Coturnix japonica: one gene and its partners. The protein of the gene in region 1 interacts with the protein of each later gene in a pairwise test. Links are inferred from orthologs where the notes say so. Each region holds a gene or a part of one and is shown in the gene's direction. Other genes may lie near its edges. The genes, in order: BANP, FOXM1 and PPIC.

Region 1 (4,146 bases):
GTGGAGGATGGGGTTCTATGGTGCTTTGTAGTTGAGGTGGGTTGTACAGCAGGTTCACCATGCAGTGTTATCATCATTGAGATGGGAAGGTTGGGAAGATCAGGCCAGGCCACCAACAGTGCTTGAAGAGCACTTTGCATCTGCATAGAGGGGTATGTAAAGGCAAGTGGAAGCTGCCTCTGAGCTGCTTGTTTGTGGGTGTCCAGAGCACGAATTAATCCCTTCTGTTAGAAGGAAAGTTTATTATTTTTCGGTTTAACCATATTCTGTTACCTGTTTTGGAGCAGCGAGGCAGGATGTTAGAGGAGCCCAGCAGAGCTCATTTCAGAGGTTCATTTTCAGGGCAGACTGTTAATTTTTGTGGTACAACTCCTTTATTTTAAGGTCAAGGGCAGGTAAGAATCACAAAGTCGATGTGTTGGTCTGGGAGCCGAGTGAGCAGCCAAAGAAAAGCCATATCCTCACACCTGCCCCTATTGCTGAGGTCTCTGTTTTACCACTCCTTCACTGCTCTACTTAAAGCCATTGATCCCTTGATATCTGTCATTTTTGCAGCCTCCCTATAAAACCTGTGGTATTGGCAAACACAATGGAATGTGAATACGAATATATTATATATAAACAATATATAAACAATATGAAATGAGGCAGATTGAAGTCATAGGGCTGGGGCTTTTATCTTGGTAAGCTTGCTCTCCCTGATTAGAGGGGGTCTGTTTGGATCCGTTTGGATCTGCTGTATGAACTCTGTCCTTTTACACATCCTAAGACAGGGAAGCTGGTGCTGTTAGCAGCTGTAGGCTTCTTTGTTGTCAAAGCAATTTGTGTGCATGAAAGGGGCTGGTTTGGTTGCTTGAAGTCATCCTGAAGTTTGTGCTTTGGAAGTTAATGAGACAAGATGCATTTTAGAGCTGCGGATAATCAATAGGACAGACTGCCATGTAGTTCTGACAGGGCGTATCATGTCGTTCCAAAGTAAATAGTGCAGGACAAGAGGCTTTTGCTTGCTCCTGTAAAAACAGAACGCAGCATCCTTTTGCAGCTCAGTGCTGACCGTATCTCGGAACACCCAAGATCCCCATAAAACCCTGCCAACACCCCAAAGGTCCTTCCTAGGGGTCACCTCTTGGCCTCCCACACTCCCCAGGGAGGGGTTGTGCTGCCCACTCCTTCACGGCCACCCACCCTCCCATCAGCTGGGAAATCATACTTGGGTAAGGGAAGCTTTTGTTCAGAATGTTATTTTTGCTCTCAGTTCTCTTTCCTCTGTTTGAAAGGCATCTTTTGAGCGCTGTGGTTCAAATACCAGAGGTAGTTAAAAACAAAACAGCGCTCACAGCATATAGAAACCTAAACGGAATTTGTGTATTTTGGCTGCATTTTGAAATGAGATCGGGGGACTTGCTGTTGTTCACATATGTATATTTTATTCTGAGTTGTACTTAAGTAGTAAATTACAGTCGCTCTCGTCACAGGGATGCATTTAAGCAAGCGATTTTGGGTGAAGCATCTGCTCTTTTGTTGCTCTTTGGCTAACAGGGGACCCAGCCTCAACCAGCCAGCATGAAGATGTGTAGAGTCAGTGGCTGCGAGCATTAATTAGCAGTAATTTGTAAATCTACACCTTCGTGTACAATGGGAAGATAAACATTGCTGCAACAAATTGTCATAAGTTGAATGTGTTTGGCTGTGAGAATAAGTATCTTGGCTCCGTCTCTCTATTTATATAACAGTGAACACATTAGCTGGGGGGTGGCTGTGTGCTATTGACATTACAGCAGCGCTGACTGCTCTGTCTGTCCCACTTACCCTTTGCAATAATCATTAGCAGAATTATGAACCCTTCATCAATTATCTTTTGCAGCGCTTAGGGAGGTGTCATTTATCATGAGGGCGGTAACAGCCCACTCCTTAGGAAAGCCACTATCTCTCGTTGGAAGCAGTTGGCCAAAAAAACCTCTTTTGAAATGTTTCCCAGCCACGGGAGCGCAATATTTCCGTGCAAAGAGACAGCAGCAAGCAAGCAAAACTGAACAAGTTCCTTTTTTTCCTCCCAGCAAACCTGGCTTCTACCCTCTGATCTTCAACCTGAAGGTGTGAGGATGCTAGAAGTGAACTCAGTGTCTGCCTTTTGTTACCCCCTCCCTCCACCCTCTCTCTTTCTGCCATCATAAAACCAAGTAGAAGGGGTTTCTAAAGCAGATTCCCCCAGTTCAGTGCTGTGGCTGCAGAGCTCATCCTATGAGGAACCTGAGCTGATGGAGCTGCTGCGCTCATCTGCCGGCTGGCAGAATAAACAGATCAGTTTTCATAGCTGCAAGCTGTGAAACAGACCATCTCATGCTTACAAACTATACAGCATAATCAGTGCTTTGGTTTTTCCCTCTCTTTGGCTTCTTAAGTCTACAAGCCTTGCTTTTGCTTGGGTTGCAGGTAGGGAATTGGATGCACTCAGAGAATATAGACGTGGTAATTGGACTGGTGACTTAGTGTGCTAACTGTTGTTAGAATGAGTTGGAATTAAAATGGACCTATTTAGCACAGGCCACCAGGATGATTTATTCCTTTGCTAGTGCTGATACAGATAGGGGATGACTTACTTTGTGTTTAGGATCATAAGGGAGCCAAACCTTTCCAGGTGTGGTGCCCGTTAACCCTTCCAGGGAATACAGGTCTCATAAGGCAAAATGCAGTGAGAATCTTATGTGAGAATCTTCCATGTGTGTACCACCTCCTTGGGACCCACATTATTTAAACTGCTACTGATGTACATATTTTCTCAAGTTTCTGTTGAATCATGTTTGGTTGTTGCATCTGTTTTCAGGTCGATGTTTCCTAATGCGTTCCTGGCTGTGCCTGTTCACAAGCTGTTTCTCCTTTGCTCTGCTTGCAGGTGTTGCAGGGTGCTCAGCTGATAGCTGTTGCATCTGCCGAGCCTGCATCAGGAGGAGTTGATGGATCCCCACTGCAAGGCAGCGATATCCAAGTCCAGTATGTGCAGCTCACACCTGTGACAGACCACTCTGCAACCAGCCAAGTATGCCTGCATATATGTGTAGAGATATGTGTATATAAATATATATGCCAAATTATTAAGATAATTTTCCTAAAGGTAAATAGTGGTTATTGACTATTCCTTCTTTGGCGTTGTTGCTCATTGCCCCCAGAGAACAGTTATTTTGGTCACCATTGTTTTTCTGCATCCTTGAGGGCTGAGAGCCATTTTTACAGGACGTGGAGGAAAAACTGGCTCGGAAACTATCCAAAAAGTGTTTTTCAGACTGAGGTTTCTCTTTAAAAAGTTATTCTCTTTCTGACAGAAGTTTTCCAGTTATTTTAATCCACAGCCTGGATTTCCCACAGGAGCTGCAATGTATGCAATTGTAAGTGAACACTCGATGGGCTCAGTTAAGGTGGAGGAGGTGTGTTTTCTTTCTTTCCTTGGTCAGTTTGAAGAGTCACGTAGCTGAGGCTGGAACCAGCCCAAAGTCATGCCTGGTGGCAGTGCAGGCATACAAAAGAAGCAGTTGTTCCATGAACCCAACTGGAGTTGGCTCCTTTCCTAAAGAATCCCTAATGCTTGTGAGAGATGTATTGGCTTACCAGCCAGGATATAATGTTATCCTCAGCAACCAATCTTAGAAGGGAATTTTGTCACGTAGATACCCAGTTTTGCAGAGAGTTCTGATCTGGCTGCAAACATTTGGATGTTGGATCTCTTGAGCTGCATAAGAAATGGAGGAAGTCACGTTCCTTCCCTAGGTTTGTCTCTGTGCTTTCAGGCCTCCTCAGTCATCGATTCACAGTCACTTGTAATAGTGTGCTGGACGACAAGAGCGTTGCTGATGGATCATGCCTTGTTTCTTGAAGCTGTGCAGTACCAAGAGTACTGCTCATCCCATGCAACTAATAGGCATATAAGTATTGGATAGCAAGAGGTGTTTCTCTCCTGCCATGCTGCTGTCCTCACTCCACTCCTTGGAGATCTCAAATCCAGCACCCACAGGCTGGGGCTGCTCCTGGAGGCTGTGCTCCCCCCTTGGCTCCCACCTCCCATGGTAGGAGGCTGTGGTTATAAACATCAGCATCCGTCTCCCACACGACTGGCATCCACCAGAGGAGCTACTTTTCTCTTCAGGGACACTT
Region 2 (4,198 bases), on another chromosome or scaffold:
AAAGACTTTGAACAAAACACTAGTACAATAACATGCAGATCTCCATATAGACTGTTACCTACCAGTAGTTTTTATATCTTTTATCAGATTCCAGGCAGATTTAGCATATATATATATATATATATATATATAGTAGAATGAGTAATTAAGTGCTTCAAAGCTTCATGAAGGCACAACCAAACATGTGATGGTAAACAGCCACACTGAGTTGCATAACAAACTTTATAACACAAAGTAGTTGTAGAGCAGGTACGTGTTACTTGGCTGGCTGGGTGCAGGGGGTTAACTCCTTCCTAGCCTGCACACCAAAAGGAGGTAAACATCTCTATTTATCAGGGGAATACATGCATATTCATGGTACGAGGATATTTTTCCATGTAGAAGCAGATTGACACTGGTGAGAAAATACCATGCAAGAAGTACATTTTCTTATTCAATATATAAAGCTACATAATAACCGCTTGCTACATATTATCAAAACAACTGACCAGCCCCCTTAACATGCCAGAAGATTTAGAGACACAACCTTATTATCCACCAACCAGTGAAGTCCAGATGCTCTTGGAGGTCTCTGTGAAGGCAGCTGGAGCCACGCTTTCCTCCCGGTAACACACAGCGATGAAGAGTCAAACCACAGAAGAGTCAAACCTGGCTGTAGGGTTGGAGCCTCACAGTCTCAGCTCGGATAACTCCTCTCGAAGCGGATAACGACCCTTAAATTAAGAGTATTTACAGGTGACCACAGCCCCACCGTGCTCAGCACCCACCCCATATAGTACATACCCATCAGCCCGCCCGGCTCGGCCCCGCCCGCCGCTGCGTTTCACTGGCCCGGAGCTCCACGTGATGGCAAGAAACCGCTGAGCGCCAAATTCAAACAGGGAACCGATGGCGATGGCGGGGGGTGGATCCGAGCCGGGCTGCAGGTGGTGAAGCTGGATCTTCCTTGCGCCTCTTCTGCTCGCCTGGGGAGGGGGTGAGTTGGGACCGAAGCTCGGCGTTCATTCCTTGTTGTACTGCGCTCTCCCGTTGTTTGGGCTTTCCCTGTGAGGAGCTGCGTGGCCCGGTGAGGTCTGAGAGTCCGGGAAGTGAGGGTTGTGGTTTACAGCGGGTGACGTAGGTTTGAGGGGATACTTGCTTCGTTCTTCAGTATCACGAGCTCTTTTGCTTCGTTCTCATCGCTTTATAGAGCTGTGAGCACCTTCCTGCTGCTGAAAACAGCTTTTGGCCTGTTTAGGAAGTTTCTGGCCTTCAGCTGCTGAGCAGCCTCTGGCCCCAGTGCTTCCTGCTCATAGAGAGCTCATCTAATGGGTGTTTGCCACTGTGTGTCTTTCCAGGTGATTCTTACTGTACCTGCATTTGTCCTCCACTCCTTTCTACTTTTCTGTTTCCCACGTCTTATACCAGCACTTAAATCCATTTTTGGTCAGGCTGTGTTCTGTTGCTTACAGCAGATTGCTATGTCTGTATTCTGGTTTCTCATCCCTCCAGCTTACTGGCTGATGCTGGTCAAGTAATTTCCCAGCTAAGTCTTAGCATCCCTCATACAGGTAGACATCCAGACGGGTCTTGAATATCTCCAGAGAAGGAGACTCCAGAACACCCCTGAGAAGGCTATTCCAGCGCTCTGACAGTGAACAAGTCTTTCTTTCTATTAGTATAGAACTTCCTGTTGTTCCAGTTTCTGCCTATTGTCCGTTGTTACATTGTTGCTTGCCACTGAGGCGTCTGCCCCCATCAATTTCACTCCTTCACTTTAGATATTTATAAAGAGTTATGAGATCCCCTTTCAGCCTTCTCTTCTCTAGACTGGAGAGTCCCAGGTCTCTCATCCTTTAGATATACATGCTTTCCTTGTTATTAGATACATAATGACATTCAACTTCTGATGCAAGTATTTACTCTGCGAATCCTGCTTCCACAAGCTGTTGATAAAGAGGTGAACTGTATTTTCCTGTAGCCTAGTCAACCTTATTATAAGCTTTCATTTTTGTTTTTCTTTCTCTGTTTTTTAGCAGCGTGGGGATTGCTGAGAATATAAGTGCTGTGAAAGACCTGTGGTGTGTTTGTTGACCTTTTTTATCTATTCCTACTGTCTGCACTCATATTGTGTTTTTGTTTTGCAGGACTTGTTCCTCTCATTTTCAATGGAGAGTGACTGTACAGATAAATAATGAGGACCAGCCCTTGCAGGCCCTTAATTCTCAAAAGAAGGAAACTGACCCTTCTACAGAAGGAGGCATCCAGTACTTCAGGAAGAGATGAGAACAGCGGTCACGATGAAAATGCACCTAAGCAGGAACATAGCCAGGAGTACCAAAATGACAGCCAATGCAAAGACAAAACAGGCTGTGGCCTGCAGAAATTCCCAGAGGGAATAAAGATAATGAACCATCCTACCATGCCCAACACGCAAGTGGTGGCCATCCCTGCAAATGCGGATATCCAGAGCATCATAGAGGCCCTGACAGCAAAAGGAAAAGAATGTGGCAACAATGGGCCCAATAAGTTCATTCTCATTAGCACTGGGGGAACTTCTCGTTCAACAGGTTTGGTGCTATCACAGCACCTTCCCTCAGTGGAGGAACCTGGCACAGTGGCTAGGACTGCAAACAGTCAAGTAAGGGAGAAGAATACATCACAGATACCTGATCCTGCAGGAGGATCAATGGCCTGGCATTCAGGAACTGATTCTGCGTTTGCACAGAAGCAGGAGAACAGTAAGTAACCCTTACACTTTTCTTGTTCTGAAGGATAAAGATACGCAAATTGGGACGATAAGCGTAGTACTTGAATCTCGGTATGCAGTAGTGGAAGTCGTTAAATTAATTACAAATTAATTTACAAATGTAAATTAATTACAAATAAGTAGCTGTGGATATGTAATGGAATTTGAGGGATCTTGGTGGATATACTTTGAAAGAAACAGTCCTGGCACTTGAAAAAAGGCAAAAAAAGCAAAAATTTGGTACCGGATAAAAAGAAGTGGGGTTAGTTGGAGGGAATTCTGGTCTAGAATAACAAAATATGAGGCAAAGGAATCATGAATGGAGTCACTCCATTATCAGCGCTCCAGTATCAGCATGAAGTACCTTAGTCAGTCAATGACAAAAGGGGCACAGGCCTTTGAAAGAAAAATAATTCCAACTGTTTCCTTCTTGGCTGTCTCTTGAAGCTGATGGGCAAATGTTAGAAATGGGACTGATTTTTACTTTGACTTGCTTCTCAGATCTCATTTGTATTTGGAATTTAAAACTGCTCTGTAGATTTGGGCTGTGGTAAATCTTATCCCACAGGCTAATGCTGTTTAAGAGGAACCCATAGATAGTTCCAGTAGCTGTATTACTGAGAACAACCCCACCATAAACAATACAACATTAGATTAGTTTTCTATTGTTGCTGTTCAGAAACCATGGAGACTTTTTGATTGCTACTTGGGTTGTGTGTAAGTCTTACTGTTGGAGTTTATGCCACCTTCCTTGACTTTTGTTTATTTAATTAATCCTTTAGCTAAAAATGCTTGAATACTCAAAGTACTGGAGTCAACACTGTCCTGTTTTGGCTGAGAACAATCGTTTGGTTTGAATATTGTGATATGTTTGTTTGTTTTAGTTTTTGTTCTGTCTTTAACGTTACAGCTTTTTTTCAGGAATTGGGCAGATACACATTCAATCAGTAATTCAAGGTAAATACACAAGAAGGCTGAACTTTGCAATACCATCTTGTTCCTACCCTGACACAGGGATATCTATGTTAGTACTTTCTTTTTGGCACTTGAGGTGAAGGAAGAGGGTTACTTGTAAATAAGCAGAGTTTTGGGCTTATTTTTCCAACAGGCAGTGGCGACACAGTGAGCTCTGTGCTGGATAATAGTCTCACTAACATCCAGTGGCTGGGGAAGATGAGAACTGAAGGACTAACTCCCTGTTCTGTGAAACAAGGCATGGAGAAGGAGAACCAGATCCCTCTGCAGGAAAGAATGAAGGTAATTAGGAGAGGACAACAGTGTAAGCTAAAACTTTTGATGAGGATGAAATCAGTCTGGATTTGAAGACTTATGAGAGCTAGATATGATGATTTCCAAATAATCTGAGAACTCCCTTTATCAATTTGAATAGCAGTGCATGGAATATCCAACCCTTGTCAACTATTGAAGCACTCATATATTGTTTCTTCTGTCTCTCAGACTGAAGAAGAT
Region 3 (4,246 bases), on another chromosome or scaffold:
TGGGGTTCTTTCAAGTATAAAGGATAAAGGTGGCACTGCAATTAAGCCACACAACGACTGCTCTAACACTTGAACCATTGGAACTGGGGTTCTTAATGCACAGGAATGACAACCAATGCCTTCCATTCCCTCTCCCAAACAGGTAATGCATCCATGTGTCCCACTGCAATTAAAAGCTACACAGCCACACAACGCCTGCTCTAATAATTGAACCATTGGAACTGGGGTTCTTTCAGGTATAAAGGATGAAGGTGGCACTGCAATTAAAAGCTACACAGCCACACAATGCCTGCTCTAATACTTGAACCATTGGAATTGGGGTTCTTTCAGGGATAAAGGATAAAGGTGGCACTGCAATTAAGCCACACAACGCCTGCTCTAACACTTGAACCATCGGAACTGGGGTTCTTTCAGGTATAAAGGTGGCACTGCAATTAAAAGCTACACAGCCACACAATGCCTGCTCTAATACTTGAACCATTGGAACTGGGGTTCTTTCAAGTATAAAGGATAAAGGTGGCACTGCAATTAAGCCACACAACGCCTGCTCTAACACTTGAACCATTGGAATTGGGGTTTCTTAGTGCACAGGAATGACAACCAAGGCCTTCCAGTTACCTCTGTCAGAGGTAATGTATCTGTGTGTCCCACTGCAATTAAAAGCTACAGAGCCACACAGGTCCTGCTCTAATACTTGAACGATTGGAACTGGGGTTCTTTCATGTATAAAGGATAAAGGTGGCACTGCAATTCAAAGCTACACAGCCACACAACGCCTGCTCTAATACTTGAACCATTGGAACTGTGGTTCTTTCAGTTATAGAGGATAAAGGTGGCACTGCAATTAAGCCACACAACGCCTGCTCCAGTACTCGAACCATGTGAACTGGGGTTCTTTCAGGTATAAAGGATAAAGGTGACACTGCAATTAAGCCACACAACGCCTGCTCTAATATTTGAACAATTGGAACTGGGGTTCTTTCAAGTATAAAGGATAAAGGTGGCACTGCAATTAAAAGCTACACAGCCACACAACGCCTGCTCTAACACTTGAACCATTGGAACTGTGGTTCTTTCCGGTATAAAGGATAAAGGTGGCACTGCAATTAAAAGCTACACAGCCACACAACGCCTGCTCTAATACTTGAACCATTGGAACTGTGGTTCTTTCAGTTATAGAGGATAAAGATGGCACTGCAATTAAGCCACACAACGCCTGCTCTAACACTTGAACCATTGGAACTGGGGTAACAGGTAACGCATCCGTGTGTCCCCCAGCTCCATCCCCGCTATGATCACACCCATCCCGGCTCCTCCCCTCCCGTTTGCTGACGCAGGCGCCGCAGCTCCGAGTGTCGCCATGTCCCTTATTCGGACGGCTCTCATTGCCATCCCCGTTCTCGTTCTGCTTTCTGCAGCAGCACAGGGGCTGCGGAGGAGGGGACCGAGTGTGACAGCCAAGGTGACTCCGTGCCGGGCCGGGTGGGAGGCGGTCGGTCTGTCGGTCGGTCGGTCGGTGTGCGCTGTATTGGACCGCAATGCCGAGCCCGGGGAGCCCCCCCGGCTATATTTCCCCTTGCTGGGGCTGCCATTGCTTTGCAGTGACGTGTACAGCCGTGATGTGGCTCCTCCTTGCAATCCCGGAAGGCAATGTGACCGCTGTGCTCACTATCACAGCCATTAATTACTTCTATGCCTGGAATTTGGAGGCTTGACAGCTCCTTCCCTTCTTAATGGAGTCTAGTATTCCATCGTAGCCCCCTGTTCTGCCAGGTTGGGTGTTGGAAAACGTTTCCTAACGTTGCATGTACAAAAGGGGTTTTGATGTGCTGCTCTGCCACTTGCAGAGCCTCCAGTTTCAGCTCTGCCTCTCTGCATGCCCTGTGCATGCATTTGATAGTGCTATAGCCTGCAGGCATCGCTGGCAGCCACCAGCTGCTCTTCCTGATCGAGATTTCCATATAAAACATGGGGAGTTTAGAAAACCTGCACAGCTTTGTTTCTTTCTTCTCTTCATCCATACCTAAAGATAATTGACTGCAAAATGAAGAGAGGTGCATTTATAAAGATGCCAGGAAATCAGTTTGTTTGGGAGCCGCGCATCTAACAAGTATGTTATTTGGTGCCAAGGAAATGGATGAGGTGCGCCAAAAGGAATGTTGTTTTCTTTATGGGATGAGGTGCACCAAAAGGAATGTTATGTTCTTTATGAAGCTGCTGTAATGTTAGCCAGGAGATCCACAGTCAAAAACCACATGGAAGATGAAGAAACAGTAGGAACGTTTGGTAGGAAAGCATAAAAGAGGCATTGACATTGGTGAAGCTGATAGCTTTTATGTAACTTCTTCGAACGCCTCATTTCCTTACAGCTGCTCCTAATTGTTTGAACATTTCTGCTGCTCATAGACAAACTCGGATATTCTGAACTATGTTAAATGCCTCTTAACTCTTTGGTCTTTGTAGCAGCACGCATGTAGAAGCCTTTGGGCAGCCAGCTCTACTGCAGCCTGGTTCTTCCTCCAGTCTGTTCTGGGTTGTTATGTGGGGAGTGGACACCGTGCTGGAGCAGCAGGGTTTTCATCCCACTTTTTCCCCATTGCATAACCTGGGTTTGGAAGCTGGAAGGAAACCAGCACCTGAGGATTGTAACATTAATAGTGAGGTTGCTTCTTACTGCTGTTCTTGTTTGTATCTCTTTGCTTCACAAATACATCCAGGTGTTCTTTGACGTGAAGATTGGAGACAAAGATGTTGGCAGAATTACAATCGGGTTGTTTGGAAAGGTTGTCCCCAAAACGGTGGAGAACTTCATCGTGCTGGCGACTGGAGAAGTAGGTTTGCAGTTCTTTTGTGCGCTAAGGTTTGGAGTGGGAAACGAGTATTTAAGTGCCACTTTGGTTGTGAACCATACACTTCAACTCAGTGCGGTCAGTGCAATTGTGCCATTCCCCATCCCCAAGGCTCACCTGCATCTCACTGCTGTTTGTTCCTTGCCAGCATCTGGCTCAGGAAGTGGTGTGTTCTCCTATAGCTGACCACACACCGCGTGTGTATTTCCATACCGCCGTACAGAACTGTGTGTTACATTCATTATTTCGTTTTCTCAGAGAGGGTACGGTTACAAAGGAAGTAAATTTCATCGTGTGATCAAAGACTTCATGATTCAAGGAGGGGACTTTACAGCTGGAGATGGGTCAGGAGGTAACATAATTTCTTACTTTTGGCTTCTCCTTTCTGTGAGGGTGTACTGAAAAGATGGACAAAAGAGCTTTTTCCTTCTTTCTTTCAATACATGAGAAAAAAAAGCACTCATCTCCAAACCATGGAAGCCTCCATCATTCCCCTGCTCTGCTTTGCAACAGCGCTGCTTCCCTGGGGCACTCATTGAATGCATGTTTGTGCGGATCAGTTCCAGTCACCCAGCAGCAAACTAATCTGTGATAAAGAAAGGAAAGCGTGTTGATAGAAGGCAGGTAGGGGAAGAGCAGTCTCACCTCTCTTGTCCTCAGCTCAGCATCTCTTGCATTGCATGCATTCTGGCCTGATTTCTTCTCTTCCTTTACACGCGTGTTCATCAGGTGCTACGATTTGAGCTGTCTGCGTGCAGTGTTAGTGATTTCCCTGCTGGGACAGAATGGAAAACATTCCTTTTCCTTGCAGCAAACAGTGGGAAGGCTAAAATACCAAAGACACAGTTTTAGCATTGAAGGTAGGCAATGTTTGTTTGCCTGCTAGTACTGTTTGTTGGGATAGCAACAGCATTCTCTTGTCAAAGTTACAGTGTTTTAACCATGAATAACGTTTTCTCTTATTAACTATTTTAAAACACCAAAATTCTTATGTTTCTGCAGATACACACAGAGTACACCAGCTTCCCTAGCCTTAATAAACGTGGCTAAGGTGAAATACCGTGCAGAAAGTGTTGCAGAAGTACCAAAGGTGTCTTAAAACATGGTTACCTTATTTTTAGCAGCCACTTTGATGTAGTTTGAGCTTGCTGAGATGAAGTACACTGCTGCTCAGTGATGTATTTTAGCAGATACTGAATTTGCTAGTTAAATTCAGAGGCTAGAGCATCACAAGCTTTAAATATTCTTTCCATGTATATGGTGTTTTTTTTAACAAGATTGTGCGTTGTTTGTTTTTATTACTTACTTAGTTAATATATTTTTTTATGTCGAAGGAAGAAGCATTTATGGAGAAAGGTTTCCAGATGAGAACTTCAAGCTGAAACACTATGGAATTG

What was found.
Region 2: the proteins of BANP (region 1) and FOXM1 interact in binary tests that used the Homo sapiens proteins (3 or more experiments, as listed by UniProt). The link is inferred for Coturnix japonica from reciprocal best matches to the Homo sapiens genes BANP and FOXM1.
Region 3: the proteins of BANP (region 1) and PPIC interact in binary tests that used the Homo sapiens proteins (3 or more experiments, as listed by UniProt). The two-hybrid records come from large-scale screens. The link is inferred for Coturnix japonica from reciprocal best matches to the Homo sapiens genes BANP and PPIC.

Annotation. Positions count from the first base shown.
Region 1 is NC_029526.1:16,147,697-16,151,842, forward strand, and holds part of BANP (protein BANP), read left to right. Parts: intron 1-2,893; coding exon 2,894-3,037; intron 3,038-4,146. UniProt on the Homo sapiens protein: Controls V(D)J recombination during T-cell development by repressing T-cell receptor (TCR) beta enhancer function. Binds to scaffold/matrix attachment region beta (S/MARbeta), an ATC-rich DNA sequence located upstream of the TCR beta enhancer.
Region 2 is NC_029516.1:68,394,944-68,399,141, forward strand, and holds the start of FOXM1 (forkhead box protein M1), read left to right. Parts: upstream 1-862; 5' UTR 863-976; intron 977-2,126; 5' UTR 2,127-2,173; coding exon 2,174-2,720; intron 2,721-3,836; coding exon 3,837-3,985; intron 3,986-4,186; coding exon 4,187-4,198. UniProt on the Homo sapiens protein: Transcription factor regulating the expression of cell cycle genes essential for DNA replication and mitosis. Plays a role in the control of cell proliferation. Also plays a role in DNA break repair, participating in the DNA damage checkpoint response.
Region 3 is NC_029547.1:66,535,577-66,539,822, reverse strand, and holds the start of PPIC (peptidyl-prolyl cis-trans isomerase C), read left to right. Parts: upstream 1-1,322; 5' UTR 1,323-1,360; coding exon 1,361-1,462; intron 1,463-2,717; coding exon 2,718-2,831; intron 2,832-3,107; coding exon 3,108-3,201; intron 3,202-4,183; coding exon 4,184-4,246. UniProt on the Homo sapiens protein: PPIase that catalyzes the cis-trans isomerization of proline imidic peptide bonds in oligopeptides and may therefore assist protein folding.